Pelodiscus sinensis: one gene and its partner. The protein of the gene in region 1 interacts with the protein of each later gene in a biochemical or structural test. Links are inferred from orthologs where the notes say so. Each region holds a gene or a part of one and is shown in the gene's direction. Other genes may lie near its edges.

Region 1 (7,753 bases):
AGCGCCAAGGAGCGGCGCTGCGGGAGCAACTGGCAGCACCCCAGCTGCTCTGCCCCAGGAGTCCTGAGAAAAGCCTGGTCTGCTGGAGAGAGGGGGGGGGGGGGGGGGGGGGGGGAGGGGGAAGGGGCGCACTAGCTGCACCGCCCCCCCTCCCCCCACAGCAGACCATGGAGACGCGAGCGGCGGGACCAAGACGCGCCACGGTCCCGCCGCCCGGGTCCTCCGCAGCTTCGCTCTGTGTCTCCCTGGTCTGCTGGCCCCCCCCCAGCAGACCAGGGAGACGCGGAGCAGCTTTCCTCGCCCTGGAGGACCTCGGCGTGTCTGGACGGTCCCGCCGCCCGCATCCTCCGGGGCGAGAAAAGCACGGTTCGTAAGTGCGGATCTGACATAAGTCAGATCCGCGTAACTCGGGGACTGCCTGTAATTCCAACACCTCTCTGTGTATTTGACTTGTAGAATTGGATTGTGATAAGACAGCCACCTGGAGAACTTTTAAAGAGTGATTAGGTAGACTGAGGTGCTCTCCAACAGGTTTCTGTACGCTCCCTTTACGTACAGCTGATTTGTGTCCATTGATTCTTTCCCTTCGGGACTCTTCAGTTTGTCCAATATGGGCAGTGGGGCACTGCTGGAATAGATCAAATTACTGGATGTGCAATTGAATGATCCTCTGATTTGGTAGCTTATGTTGTTGGCTCCACTAATGAATTCGCTTGTATAGTTATGTGGGCAGAGTTGGCACCTCAGCTGATTGCAGGGCTGGGTTCCTGGATGTTTATGATGTGGTTGTGTAGCATGGTGACCAGAAAGAATTCATTTCAGGTTGGGGGGTTGTCAGTAAGTGACAACAGGCTTTTCCCTAAAGGCCTCAGAATGAGGGATCATTTTCCAAGATGGATTACAGGTTGTGTATAATGCGTTGGAGGGGTCTGAGTTGTGGACTGTATGATTCTATCTGCCATTTAGCACAAGCTGTTCTGCTGCTGTTAGACCACTGATTAACTATCTTTAGGAAGAGACTACTTAGCTGAAAACAGGATAGTTGCAGCATCATTTTGCAGGTTTCAGGGTCACAGCTTCTCAATTCCATTTGTTGAAGGAAGAGAGCTACCATGTCATTGTTTATTCATCTGCATGGGACCCTAGTCGGTTAATTTTTCACTTCCTGACCACAATCCCTTTAATGCTTCACTTGTCATTAAGAACTACCAAGCCTGCAGCACTCACGCCACCCATACTCCCAATGACTTCTGTATAAGGACTGTGAGACTGAGCCCTGAACTGGTGCTCTGCCCAACCTGCACGGTTAACACAACACAAATACCCACACAAGTCCATCAAATGGCACTTACCTGTAAATTTTAGTTCTGGATGAAGTTCATCTTCAAACTGCTTCCCATAGATGGATGCGCCCCCTCTGCCTGCCCATTGGAGAAAAGCAGATATGTCAATACAGAAAGCCATGGCAGACATTCAGGGCCACTCTCATTGTAGGGATTGTCACATGAAAGTCATATGTGCGTCCTGCAGCTTAGCAGGCCTAGGATGGAAGTTTCCATCCCTGCTGTACCCAGCTTAGCATAACCTGGGACCCTGCAAGCCCAAACAGCAGCTGGGTTTTATCAGCTCTAACCTGTGCCTTGAGCTGGGAAACTACTGAGCAGTAAATAAGTTTGACCTTGGTCTCAGCCCATAAAAATGATAAGAATGGCATTGAGCCAGGGACGTGCACACCCAGTAAACAGAGTATAAAACCTGCCCGCCCTTTTGTGAGTTCCACCAGAGACCTTTTCCCTTGGAAGGTGCCCTGGGTCCCCTAGCTGGAGCCACATCCACTCCAGCTTGGTGCAAGGTGACCGGAATGGAACTCCCTGCAGACCTGAAGGGGCGTAAGCATTTCTAAGTGCCTGTTGCTCATGTATATGTATTGCTTTGCCTATGCTAATTATTTGGATTAGTTTGCAGTAGTTGTGTATTTGCCAGTATTAAGGCTGTAATAGTAGTGACGTAGTAAAATTAATAAAAGCAACTATCTATCCCTAATCGACTCTGTCTTTAAGCAAATCCACAATCCTATTGAGCCCTGCCCCTGTGAGCGTCTGGGCTGTCCGCTGCCCGCGCATTCCGCCGCTTTGCTCCCCATCCCTCTGGTCTGCAGACCAGGGGGACGGGGAGCAAAGCAGAGCAAAGCGGCTGAACGCGCGGGCAGCGGACAGCCCAGACACGTCTGGGCTGTCCGCTGCCCGCATGCTCCGCTGCTTTTCTTCCTCTCCCTGGTCTGCTGGAGAGCAGGGAGAGGGCCCCGTTCGTAACTGCGGATCCGACATAAGTCGGATCCGCGTAACTCGGGGACTGCCTGTAGTTTGTGTTGCCTGTCCCTGTACCTTTTCCAATTCCAATATACTACTTCACTAGCAGGGTAGTAAAGCACTGGAATAGGTTGCCTAGGGAGATGATGGAATCTCCATTCTTCAGTGTTTTAGGCAGGTAAGGCACTCTATTTGAGTGTTTCTCGACCTTTTTTTATAAAGTACCCCCTTTAAAAAATGAAAAATTATAAGTACCCACAGTACCAGACACACATTTGTTTAAAAAACTTAGGGCAATGAAAGTTTTGGGTGTAATAATAAAGCGCTGTAAAACTTGAAACAAAAATTCAGTTTTCTCTAAATTTCAGTTGTGTTGATGTACCCCCCCCAGACTTCTCTCGAGTACCCTTAAGGGTACTCGTACCACTGGTTGAGAAACACAGCTCTATTCTACTCACCTAAGTTGTGCCTCATCATCTGTCCTGCTGCTTATGCCCAGGTGAGCTGGGCATCCTGTATATACTCTACACCAGCGGTCTTCAACCTTTTTACACCCAAGATCACTTTTTAAATGACAGAACAAGCCAAGATCTACCTCCCCATCCTTCCCCCAGGACCCAACCCCTTTCTTGAAGCCCCGCCCTACCCTCTCTATTCTCCTCTGCTCCATCACTTGCTATCCCCAACCCTTATACTGCTGCTTTTTTACTGCCAATTCTTCTGTAGGAAGAGGTTTTTCCAACATTTGGCCTGTCTAGACATTTGGCCCCTGGGAGTGACGCACAGCTGCAGGACTTCTGTCCACCCCACGGGAAGCTGCCACTACCTCCATTGTCGCTGGAGGTAGGTAGTGGGGCTTCTTGGGGGTGGAGGGAAATGGAGGATCCGGAATGCCTTGCGATCGACTGGTTGAGGCCTCGTGATTGATCAGTTGATCGCGATCAACGGGTTGGTGACCGCAGCTCTACATGCAGACTAAAGTATAGATGTACCATGATGTGGTTGAGGTCACACAAGTAATCTTAATAGGAGCAGAGAGTTAGTTGAACGTGGTTTTCTCCAAATCCCGTTTTTGCATCCTAAACACTAGGCCAGTGGTCATCAACCAGCAGATCACGATCTACTGGTAGATCTTGGAGCCTTCTGACAGGTGATCCTGACAGGTTTGATCGGGAGGCTGTCAAATGCTGGCACTTCATCTGTCCCTCTCAGCACTGCTGTGCTGCTCCTGCCTTTGCCTTGGAGCTGCCCCCAGTCCCAGTAGCCTCTTGCGTGCTGTGCAGGGCACAAGAAGAAGAGGAGGAGGTGCTGATGTCAGGATGCACCTCCTTCCACCCTGTACCCCTTCTCCACGGAGCAGAGTGGGGGCAGGGATGGAGAGTTTACTGGCTGCTTTTGGGAGTGATGCAAGGCCAGGGGAGGGGTGAACCTGCCTTAGCCCCCTTCCATCACCACCCAGAAGCCACCTGTGGTAAACAGCTCCCAGCTGGAGCCTGCATTCCAAACCCCGCCCCCCCCCCCGAACCTCAAACCCCTGCCCTAACCCTGAGTCCCCCTGCACCCAAACTCCCTCCCAGAGCCTGCACCCTGCAACCATCCTGCACCTCAACCTCAGCTCAGAAGCCCTGCCACACTCCGAACCCTTCAGCCCGAGATCCGAGTCCACATCCCCTTCCCCCGCGCCCCAACCCTCTCCCTCCAGCCGGAGAAAAGTGAGAGGGGGGGGGTGAGCAGGGGGCCCGTGGAGAAGGGGCCGGAAGGAGGCGGGGCAAGAGAGTGGACCCTGGATTGCACGGACCCCGCGCTGGGCCCCGCTTCAGCGGGGAGGGGCGGGGCACGTGCCCGCGTGGCTCAGGCGCGCGCGCTCCCGACGCGGGGGGGAGGGGCGAGGCCGCCCTACCTGTCCCCGTGGGGTCGCCCCCCTGCACCATGAAGTCCTTGATGATGCGGTGGAACTTGGTGCCGTTGTAGTAGCCGCGCCGGGCCAGCTCGGCGAAGTTCTTGCAGGTCTTGGGCGCGTGTTTCCAGTAGAGCTCCAGGACGATGGTGCCCATGCTGCGGGGGGGCCACAGGGTCAGGGCGCCGCCCCGCGCCGCGCGCCCCGCCCCCAGACCAGGCCCCCGCCCCCGGCGCGACCCCCGCCCCGCGGCTCCTTACGTGGTCTCCATGGAGACGGCGGGGGGCTGCCAGGAGTCGGGAGGCACCGCAGCCATGCTCCTCGCGCACCGGAACACTCCGCTCAGAGCGCCGCGTGACGTACTTCCGTTAGCTCAGCCAACCGCCCCCCTCCTCTCGTGGAATAGGGCGGGGCCCCCTGGCGGCCAATGAACGCTCGGCTCTGAAACAGCCCCCGGGGGGGGGGGGAGAGGCACCAATCAGCGCGCTGGGCGGCAACGGTGTTATTGTGACGTACAGGAGGGAGAATTCGAATTTAGCCACGCCCCTTCCACGCGGCTGTGTTTGCTGCGAGGAAGCGGCGCCTCGGGAAGGACGGAGGGTGAGTGGCGGGCGCGGGTGGGGGTGGGGCGGGGGCTAATGCATTGTAGTGGGGCCATGGGCTTGGACACAGGAGACTTGGAATGGGGGAGGGGTTGGGAGGAGGTGGGGTGGGGGGCTGGGCTGGGGGGGTTGGGAGGAGGTGGGGTGGGGGGCTGGGCTGGGGGGTTGGGAGGAGGTGGGCTGGGGGGGCGGGGCTCGGGGGTAGTTGGGCTGGGCTGGGGACTGGAGGGTGGCTGGGAGGGGGGGCTGGGCTGGAGGGTGGTTGGGAGGAGGTGGCTGGGCTGGGGGATGATTGGGAGGGGGGGCTGGGCTGGGGGGGTTGGGAGGAGGTGGGGGGCTGGGCTGGGGGGGCTGGGCGGAGGTGGGGTGGGGGGGCGGTGCTGGGGGGTAGTTGGGCTGGGCTGGGGGGTTTGGGGGGAGGTGGGCTGGGGGGGCGGGGCTGGGGGGTAGTTGGGCTGGGCTGGGCTGGGGGGGTTGGGGGGAGGTGAGGTGGGGGGGCTGGGGGGTGGTTGGGGGGGAGGTGAGGTGGGGTGGCAGGGTTGGGGGGAGGTGAGGTAGGGGGGGCTGGGGTGCATAGGGATGACCCACCAATGCACCCCGGTTAATACCCTGCAATGGACCCAGAGTCTAGCTCTCCCCATTGACCCGTAGTTTTGTGTGATGTTGCCTGTGGCAAAGTGGAGGGAGGGGTTATTGTTCCCCTTCCCCTGTTTTCCTCCAGCTCAGCTGGGAGGTTGGGCCCGAGCCTTGGACGCTGGAACTAGCTGGGGATGCACAGACTTGGCCCCTGTTTTTCCAAAGGTGTGGAGGGACTTTTAATTTCCACGGGGGCGGCCGAAGGGGAGGTTTCAATGTCCCTGCACTCAAGCACAGGAACACCAGAATTGACCCCCACTCTGACAGCGGAGAAGGGCGTAATAATTGCCCTGTGGAGGCTTGCAACGCCAGACAGCTACCAGTCCGTTGGGAATCGGTCTGGAGTGGAGAAACCTGCAATGGGGGCTGCTGTTATTCAAGTAGCTAAGGCAAACAATGCCCTTCTGCTACAGAGGGTAGTGACTCTGGAAACGTGGATGGCTTTGCTGCAGTGCAGATCCCTAACTGCAGTGGGGTGATAGAGGGAATGTGCATCCCCATCTTGGCCCCCAACCATGTTGTCAAGGAGTAAATAAACAGCAAGGTGCTGTAGGCGATGGCGTATCACAAGGGCCATTTCACTGACATCAATGTGGGGTGGTTGGGAATTGTGCATGACACGTGGATCTTGAGACACTCCTGCCTATTCACAAAGCTGCAAGTTGGAACTTTTTTCCCAGACTGGAAAACTAGAATCAGAGAGGTGGAAATGGCAATATTGATGCTTGATGACCCAGCCTACGTCTTGCTTCCATGGCTTATGAAACCATATATGGGCAGCCTGGACCTCAGTAAGGAGCAGTTTAACTACAGGCTGAGCAAGTGTAGAATAGTGGTTGAATGTGCTTTCGGGCATTTAAAGGGAAGGGTTACTAATCTACTGATTAGGTTAAACCCTGACAAATGCAACATTCCCTTTATGGTGGCAGCCTGCTGTGTGCTTCATAATATTTTTAGAGCAAGGGAGAAAGTAATCTGTCAGGGTAGGGCTGTAGTAGTGTAGTCTATTAACCGATAAGCAAGAATGTACAGGTTAATGCTGTAGACTACACGCATTCTCCTCCCACCCCTTGCCAGTAAATTTTTTTTTTTAGCAGGCAGGTCAGCAGCCCAGCTCAGTTCTGGCTTGCGATGGATCTGGGCAGCAGCACAGGGCGACAGGCAGCTCATCCGCAAGGGGAGCTTGTTTTTAAACTGGCTCCCCTCACGGACCAGCTCATCCCTGGCACCCTGCATTGCTGCCTCTGATACAGAGGCAGTAGCACTGTGTGGCAGGGGACTCCTTTGGAGTGAGACAGGAGCTATGTAATAGTCGACTAACTGATAAGGATTCATGAGGTTACTCGACTATTCAATTAACTGATATTTAACATCCCTAGTAGGGGGCTGAGGCAGAGTGCCTAGCCAGAGATTTTGAGTGGCCAGACACCAGGGTAATAAGGAGAGCAAAGCATGGCGCAGTGCAATGAATAGCCAGTTTTAGGAGTCATGCACATTGCTCTCAACGAAGTGCCCTTGCATTCAGTGTGTTTGCCTGTAACACCCCCCCGTCCCCCTCCCCCACAATACAAGCAATAAAGAAACTTGTTCAGTTTATGCTCCTTTATATTTTCCTGTTTTTATATATGGGTAAACTGAGGCACTGAGTCGTGATGTGACCTTCCTAGGGTCTAACTTGGAATCAGCCACAAAAGCAGGAAGACTTTATTTTAAATAAAGGGTGGTGATAGTGGTGGTTTTTAACTAGATCAGTGACTTTTTTGACAGTTTAAAAAAACTCAAGAAGGTCTATTTTATTTCCTTATTTAAAGGATTGTTTGCAGACACTCAATGGGGTCAGTTCCCAATTATCCACTCTGAACACAACTCCGGGCTTTTTGTTGTGGAGACCTCCAATCAGGGGCATCTTATGCAGCCTGTCCATTAGCAACCAGCCAGAAGCCAGAGCAGAACTGGAAAACCAATGTAGTAAGATGCAGCAAATGGTGGAGAAGGGATTAATGTGTGAGTGAAGCTAGCACGTCTTGCCCAAGGGAGGAATAAATGTTTTATCTCTTCTTAGAAAGGGAATCCCTCACTTCTCAAGGCTAAGCTGATTTGTAAAGAGAGAGATTTGTAGCAAGAAGAAGGGGCATGAAAGAACAGACAGCTGGGGAATAGCTGTTTTTTGTGGTTCTTAAGGTGGAAATATTTAGTGTTGAGATGATGGGGGTGTGATGTAGTGGGGGGGCTGTCTGCTCTGTAACCCGGGGTCCCCCTGCGCTGGATGTGAGATTCCCACTGATTCACCCACATGTGGATTGGCCCAG
Region 2 (7,744 bases), on another chromosome or scaffold:
CCTAGCCCGTGCTGCGTGTAGTCACGGGCAGCCGTGGGCAGGGAGTGCGAACTAGCGGCGCATGGGAACATGCAAATTAAGCCCGGGATATTTTAATCCCAGGCTTCATTTGCAAGTTCAAATGACTACATTAGCCACCCTTGTTCGAACTAGGACCTAACCCTAAGTTATTGATAATGCATTGGAGGGGTTTAAGTTGGGGGCTAAAGGTGGTGTTCTGTTGTTGGTTTTCTTGGGCATATCTTGAAGTAGATGGTTTCTGGGTATTCGTCTGGTTCTTCCGCTTTGTTTTTTTATTTCCCCCGGTGGGTAATTGAGATTTACCAATGCTCGGTAGAGATCTTGAAGTTTCTGATCTCTGTCAGTGGGATTAGAGCAGATGCGATTGTACCTAAGGGCCTGACTATAGACCAGTTTCAAGTTAATATCCAAGTTTTCATACCCCCTACTCATAACTCCAGTATCTGAAGAAGTGGGCTGTGCCCATGAAAGCTCATGATACCATCTACATGTTTTGTTACTCTATAAAGTGCTACGAGACCATTGGTTGTTGTTTTTTTTTTTTAAACACATTATAAAGACAGCTTCCCCACTTATCACCCCTGATTAGCCATTCATTGACTTATAAACAGCTATTCCCTTCTTCCCTTCCTCCCTCTCTCCCCACCTTCTGTTCTAAATCTGATTTGTCAGTTTAATAATGTGTTCACTTTTTTCACAGTATTCCTTTGGTATATATGGTCATGCCAATTCTCTTTCAGAATATGATTTGAGGAAGTGGGTCTGGCCCATGAAAACTCAACGTCTATTAAACCATCTTGTTAGTCTTTATAGTAGTACATAGTTTTTCCTTTTGTCTTAAAAAAATGGAGATTAATGACCAGATATTGCACATAAGCTCAATGGGAGTAATATGCAAATACTGAAAAAAATATATAAAAAGTTTAAAAAAAAGACAATCTTTCTAAAAGTGTACCAAAGGAGTAAAAATAAAGTTTTCCGCTACCAATTTAGGAGAAAGACTGGATGGCTAAGTATGATTCAAGGTAGTTGCTAACTGTTAGCCATCCAATCTTTCTCCTAAATTGGTAGCGGAAAACTTTATTTTTAGTCTTTTTTTTTTTTTTTAGTTTTTTATTTTTGTCTTTTTGGTCTTTTCCCTCCACACACACTGCGGGATTGCTAGCTCCCCTTCTCTCCCCCACACACAAACTCTCTGGGGATACTGCCTTTCCCCCAGCTCTGGGGCTGTTGCCCTCCTGGTTCTGGTGCTACTACCCTCCCTCCAACTCTGGGGCTGCTGCCCTCCCTCCAACTCTGGGGCTGCTGCCAGGGGACCGGGAGCCAGAACTGGCAGGGGTGGCCTGCTGCTTCGGCTACAGCGGGAGCCAGGCAGCAGATCACTTCTACAGGAGCTGGTGGGGACGGTCGGCCTGTGTGCAGGAAAGGCAAGTTGAAAATCCCATGATAGACAGACAAGAACGGTGACAGCTTAATAGAAAAATTGTCTAATAAGAATTGGTCCCTCACTTTCATAAACAGAATAAAACAAAGCGTATGTAACTGCATTAGTTAACATCTACATTTTCCAAATTAGTCTCTAATTCTGGGTGCCAAACTCCAGAAGCCATAAGCCTGATTTCTAGGGCTGCTAAAATATTAGCTAGTGGTACCCAGCATATATATAGTACTTTTTAGCTGAACATCTCAAAGTACTTTCCAAAGATAGCAAATATTCCCATTTTATATATGTGGAATCTAAGAGATAGATGGATAAAGTGATTTGCTAAGGTTATGTGGCAAGTTAGTGACAGATTGAAGTATATAATCCAAGTGTCCTGACAGTGACTACCATAACTAGACCATATTGCCTCTGAGGCAGAATCTAAAATTGGGATTGGAAGATAAGACAATCCACAATGGACTATAAACGTTATGGTAGCATGCATTTTTTTACATAGACATCCATGTATTTTTGAGAATATCCTTCCACAGCACTTGTTGACTTGCAGTTTTAGAACCTTACAATGTTCCTCAACCAAATTTCAGTGAGGCTACTGTAGGGACCTCTATCAGTTCACAAAGCCTGAACTTTAAATATTAAGAATAAATCTGATACTTCAGGCTACATATTTACCCTTCATTTGTGGAATATACTTTGAATTCTACCTAAGATAGAAAATTATCTGAAAACTCATAAAATTTATTTGTGACTATTTTATACAACACACTTTACCTAAACAAATACACATACATTTATTAATACACTCAGGACCAAACTGAATTACTTCCCTAAATGTTAAATGAATGGCTCTCTTGTGTACCAGTTAATACAATGCAATGAGGCTGTTAGGGTGAATCAACTTTAGAACTCTTCTAGGACTAGCACTATGAAATATTATCTTTCCAATACACTAGTGCTTGCACTTTCCCAGATTATATATTTTACAGCACCATTAATTTACATAGTACTTTACCAAACTTCAATAAACCATGCCACTTGTTTCAAAGACCTCAATCTAAAATAGATTAAAAAAATATAGGATACCAGGTCAGGAAAAAGTGAGTGGTGATCATTACAAAGTGGGACAGGATTGCTTTAAAAGATAGGTTTTAAAGGGTGAATTTGAAAGAAGAGATGCCAGAGGACAACAGAGATATATTCAACTATAGTAAGACAGCATGGCAGATAACTAAACAGGTGAGGAAGGGAGTAACAGCAGTATGACAGTAGGGATATGTAAGGAATAATGTACTCCAATTATATCTAATATTATGGCAGCTCCTAGAAGCCAATCAACAGAACGACCCAGAATAAGACACAATCCCTGTGATGACGAATTTGTAATGTAAACAGACGAGACAAAAGATTGAGAAAAAAGAGATATAGCTTACAAGCAGCATGAGTAACATAATGATTGTCAAACATCATGTAAATTTCATTACTGTTTTGGTTTGATTTAAATACAAATCACAGGGGTTGATAAATAAGGATTACCTAAATAGAAAGCAAGGGAAGAGAGACACTAAAGGAAAAGAAGGGAAGGGATCAGAGAAGGAAGCATGGAAAATAGTTTATTTGAGGCCAATAAATTTTGAGGAATACCATAAAACATGTAAGTCAATGGCTAGTCACTAACTCCACAATATCTCTAAAATGGAATTATGAAGTCAATATACATTTTCAGTGTGGAGTACTTAAGCTAAGTCCTATATACAAAAATCCATCACTCATTTGATAGTGACTAACGAAACAGTTGTTTTCAAATCACATTATCTTCTACATTCTCAGACTACATCTTAAGTTGCAAGTGTTTTTTTTTATTACAGCTGACATGCAGCTGGATGGTATATTATGACTCACATAATACAATTAGCCAAAAAGCATGTGTTTCTCACAATCATGATTAAAGGAAAGTCCTGTTAAAACACTATGTTTGTTTTACTTTCAACTTCATTAAAGTAGATCATATTAAAATACTATTGCATGGAAAGCTTCTCTCTTTAATTGCGGTCTTCACAAACAGAAAACAATGGTGGTTGCAACTCTGATGTATGAAATATGGGGCATGAGGATTCTCTAATTTCACTGAAAGGCTTTTGTTTGCGTCAAGGAAGATCCACACTTAAATCATGAGGTATAAACTAAACTCTGGCTCTCTTAACTTTGTATGCGGGTGGAGAGTTGGGGGTTTTTAGCTTATAGGCTTGCCTTTAAAAACTGTTACATTTCCGGTCTCTGCGTGGGAATAAATATTTCCAAGGTAAATCACAGTTTGACCTTCCTGTCTGTGCAAACACTTTCCACCAATTGTGAGGTGTGAACCATCTGCTGTCCTGATGGTCTGCAGTGTCGTTATAGATGGGCTGATTCCTAGATAGGAAACACAAGGTGGGTGACGTCATTTCTATTATTGAACCAACTCCTGTGGGTGAAAAAGACCACCTTCAAGTTCAAAGTTTAGACAGACCTGTTTTTTCCAGGTCTGGGAAACCAGCTTGGAAGCTGGTCTCGTTCACCCACAGAACATTGGTCCAACAAACTGTATTACCTCTCCCACCGTCTGCCTCCGGATTAGAATTTAGAATGTCACTTTTTCACGGCTGGTCCTTACAGAAGAAAAAAACCAACCACCCAGCCAATATCCTTGCTGAGCAGCGCCATAATTATCAGCACACAGTGGGGGAAATTGCCTCACTCCCCCCCCCCAGTGGTTTTCATCCTCCAGCCCCAAAACGTGCAGGCCACATCGGGATGCGAAAGAGCAGAGCCAACCCCCGCCCCCAAAGGCTGCGCCTCAGCTCCCCCCGCAGCGCCGCCTCCTGCTTCCCACACCTCCCCTCCCCCTTCCCCTTCCTCGCACCCTCGGCCCAGCCTCCTCACCCCCTCCCGCCAACGCCTCCGGGCTTCCACAGCCCGGCCGCCAGCGCAACCCCCTCCTCCCGGCCCAGCCGCCCTCACCGAGCCGCCTCAGGTCCCACGCTCAGCCATCGCCGCCCACCCAGGGCTGCTAGGCAACCGCCTCGCTTTACCCGCCCTCCGGAGACGGGGCGCGGGAGGGCCCACTTCTCCCAGGACAAATTCGAGCGCAAGCAGCCCTTACCGTTAGCTGTCGCAAGGGCCCCCCCTCTTCCCACCCCGCTTTACGGCACTGGGCGGGGAGATAAACGGAGTCACCCAACCCGGCGCGGCGGTGGTTTACGGCTCGGGGCGGAGCTATGGCGGCGGCAGCGGATTGGCTGCGGTGGGGGTCAGTCCCTGCCCAGTGACCCCGGAGTGAGGAGGGGGGCGGCTCAGTCAGTGTAAAGTGTCCCCACAACGCCCCCGGCTGGGTCTGCGGCTCCCCCCACTCCTGAGCCAGTGCCAGTGGGGGGAGCGGCCGCGGAGCGACCGCCGGTCCCGCCCCCCTCAGGAGGAGACAGGTAACGGCTGAAGCCCGCTCTGTCCCGAGACCCCGTCAGGGGGGCGCCTGCCGCGGGAGCGCTCCACCCCCGCCCCGAGTCTGCGCCCCCTTCCCATGGGACTCTGCGGTGTGTGGGGGAGGGGGATAGTCTGCAGCCCCGTGCTCCTCTGAGACTGGGGGGGGCACTAGCCCATCCCCCCCGGACAGGGTCTGGGGAGGAGTATTCCCGCTGTGGGGCTGAGGGCCACCCCCCGCTTTGGCCCATGGTTCCCTTGAGACGGTCTTTAGGGGGGGAGGTTATCTCCCCCCACCCGGCCCAAAGTCCCCGAGGCTCTTCCCATCGCCCTCATCTCGCTGACTCTTTCGAGGGGGACGTGCTCTTCGCTCGTCACTATCCCCTGCCCCCGTCATGCTCCCAAGACTGTTATGGAGCAGAGCAAATCTGCCCTATGCCCCTCTCTTAATCCCCCGCCCCCGTCACTGCACTACAGGGGGTTCACGCTTCTCTTTTCCGCTGGTCTCTTTTCAATGCCTCGAAATTCCCTGTTTTGTGCGCTGCTCCCTTCCCCACCTTTCAACCTCTTCCCCACTACTGGGGTTCTCTCAGCAAATTTTTGGAGGCCTCATAGTGTGGCCACTAACTTTTGTGGTGGCCACTATGAAAATTTTCCTTAAAATATTTAACTTCAGTGAAAATAAATAAAAGGTGGAAGATTTATGTGATCCGAAGAGAAACATACACACATACATGTCCAGATCGTTATAATTTATGTAGATTTTTTTTAGACTCAATAATAACATACAGTTGTCCCTATTTTTTACTTGCCCTAAATAAGAATAGAAACAAAAATAAGGGGCTTTGCCTGTTGTTGTCTTTTGTTGTTGTTTTTTTTGCTTTTTTTTTAGTTACAGGTTTTTTTTAAGACTAACTAGCTAGTAAGTTGTCTTTTGTTTAAAAAAAAAGATATTGGTATGTTTGTTAATATCGCTTTTTGCAGCCAATTTATTGGCTAGTTCGGAGGCAGTAAAAAGTTATATTAACTTACAAATATCACTTTCCATCACAGACTTATTCAGCCCTGGTAGGTGAAGGATAAATTAAGCCTTGAATGGAAAGGTGGGTAGGGAGGTAGCAAGGACTGGGGTATTGGTATGTATGTATAGGTGAGCGGCCAGTGACTGCAGTGGGAGCTCAGGGTAATGGGGGAAGGCAGGGGAGAGTGAGCCCAAAACTCAGTAGCTGAAGTCCAAAACCCAACCAGTGTCTGTGCAGCCAAAGTCCAGAAACATGGGTGGAGTCCATGACGAACCTGCTGGCCTGTGGCCACAACCTGTGCCTGCCCCTTCAAGGCTGACACTAGAAGCCTGAGCTCCATCACACCTAGGAAAGGGGGGAAGTCGCACTGCATTTCTGCTCTTCTAGAGTGCATATCTCCAGGGCAGGGCCCAACCCCTCCTTTTGACCCCCTAGAGAGGAGTTGTACCTTCCCACTCCCCATTTTTCCAATCACCAGCTAGGAAGCTATGAGGGTAAGAAAACTTGTGTTGGCCACATTTGAGAAATGATGCTGTAGATTTTGGTTAGGCCGTAAAAGCCCATTTCTTGATCTTAGATGTTTCTCTAGCCATCCACCATTACTAGGCGTATGAATGTTTAACCAGTAGGGGCTGGAGCAGCTCCTGGACCCACTGCAGATTGGCTGCTCTGACTGGCTGTTCAGAACAGCCCCTGTCTGTGGTGGGCCCGGCCCAGGTGGTGCACCACAAACGGGGACTGTTCGGATCAGATGGCCAGTCATAGCAACCCTTGTTTGTGGTGGGTGGGCTGCTCCAGCCCTAAACAGTTAACCAGTTAAACATAATGTTTAACCAGTTAATCAATAAAACCGAATTTTACATTCCTAACCATTATCCTAGGATTCTGTTCTGGACCATCTGTGTTGCGACCTCAAAACCATGCCTGGTAGGTAATCTTCTTCTCCGAGCCCAACCTTTGTTCCTCAGAGGTCCCCAAGACTTTGTTTTTTGGTGAGGACTTGGGGACAGTTACCTTCCTGCTTTTTCTAATTCTCCAGAAACTCTGATTTTTTCTGTTATTTTCTGCCTACCCATTAATGTTCCTTGTTCCTTACTTCAATTACAATGAGACCATACTTTGAGAAGAATCTCTTGCTGGTTTTTTACCCACATTAAAACCCCAAATATTCCATATGGTTCACTCCTTCTTTTCAGTTTCCACTTTGGGGAAATACCCTGTGCTTCCTTTCTCTTCATTCTCCCTACTTCAACCTTGACAGTGTTTTGGATGCTAATTCCCTTTATCCTCCACTTCTCACTCATCTAACAGTACTAACTCCCTCTTTTCAGGCTCAAGCTGACTCAAGGGAGACTTGCAAACTGGGAATGCAAAGGAGAAGATACAGACTGTAAGAAAAATTGAAAGTGGCACTCAGTATAAAGGTGATAATCCACCTTCATTCTTATCTTGTATCCCAAGCCAACCCTGCATGTCCACACAAGCTTGTCTGGATGCTTATGGAACCCGTTCTTATTGGCTTTCTTGACTGATTTTATGTGAGTACCTAGGATTAGATTTCCCTCTTAGGTGTTTTTTTTTGTGGGTTTTTTTGGGGGGTTTTGGTTGTTTTGGTTTTTTTTTTTTAGAAAAAACAATTTGCTCTTTGGCTTAAAAAAGTAACAAAAATTTGCAGTATAGGGAATGAACTTTTTCCCTTTTCTGTGTCTTGTTCTGCACTTTGCGTTCTCATTTGATAAAATAAGCTCCAAACATTTATTTACTTTTTTTGTAGGTTGCAACTTCAAGATCTTTTTGTGGCTTC

Evidence for each region.
Region 2: of the proteins of proline/serine-rich coiled-coil protein 1 (region 1) and ASB7, one has a biochemical effect on the other in vitro, tested with the Homo sapiens proteins (2 studies listed by BioGRID, with this or other methods). The link is inferred for Pelodiscus sinensis from reciprocal best matches to the Homo sapiens genes PSRC1 and ASB7.

The regions. Positions count from the first base shown.
Region 1 is NC_134737.1:15,885,312-15,893,064, forward strand, and holds the start of proline/serine-rich coiled-coil protein 1, read left to right. Parts: upstream 1-4,742; 5' UTR 4,743-4,806; intron 4,807-7,753. Other genes in the region: PPIL1 (peptidyl-prolyl cis-trans isomerase-like 1), read right to left, coding at 1,353-1,421, 4,210-4,364, 4,467-4,522. UniProt on the Homo sapiens protein: Required for normal progression through mitosis. Required for normal congress of chromosomes at the metaphase plate, and for normal rate of chromosomal segregation during anaphase. Plays a role in the regulation of mitotic spindle dynamics.
Region 2 is NC_134724.1:7,682,602-7,690,345, reverse strand, and holds the start of ASB7 (ankyrin repeat and SOCS box protein 7), read left to right. Parts: upstream 1-4,739; 5' UTR 4,740-4,923; intron 4,924-6,821; exon of another isoform or gene 6,822-6,867; intron 6,868-7,271; 5' UTR 7,272-7,478; intron 7,479-7,744. UniProt on the Homo sapiens protein: Probable substrate-recognition component of a SCF-like ECS (Elongin-Cullin-SOCS-box protein) E3 ubiquitin-protein ligase complex which mediates the ubiquitination and subsequent proteasomal degradation of target proteins.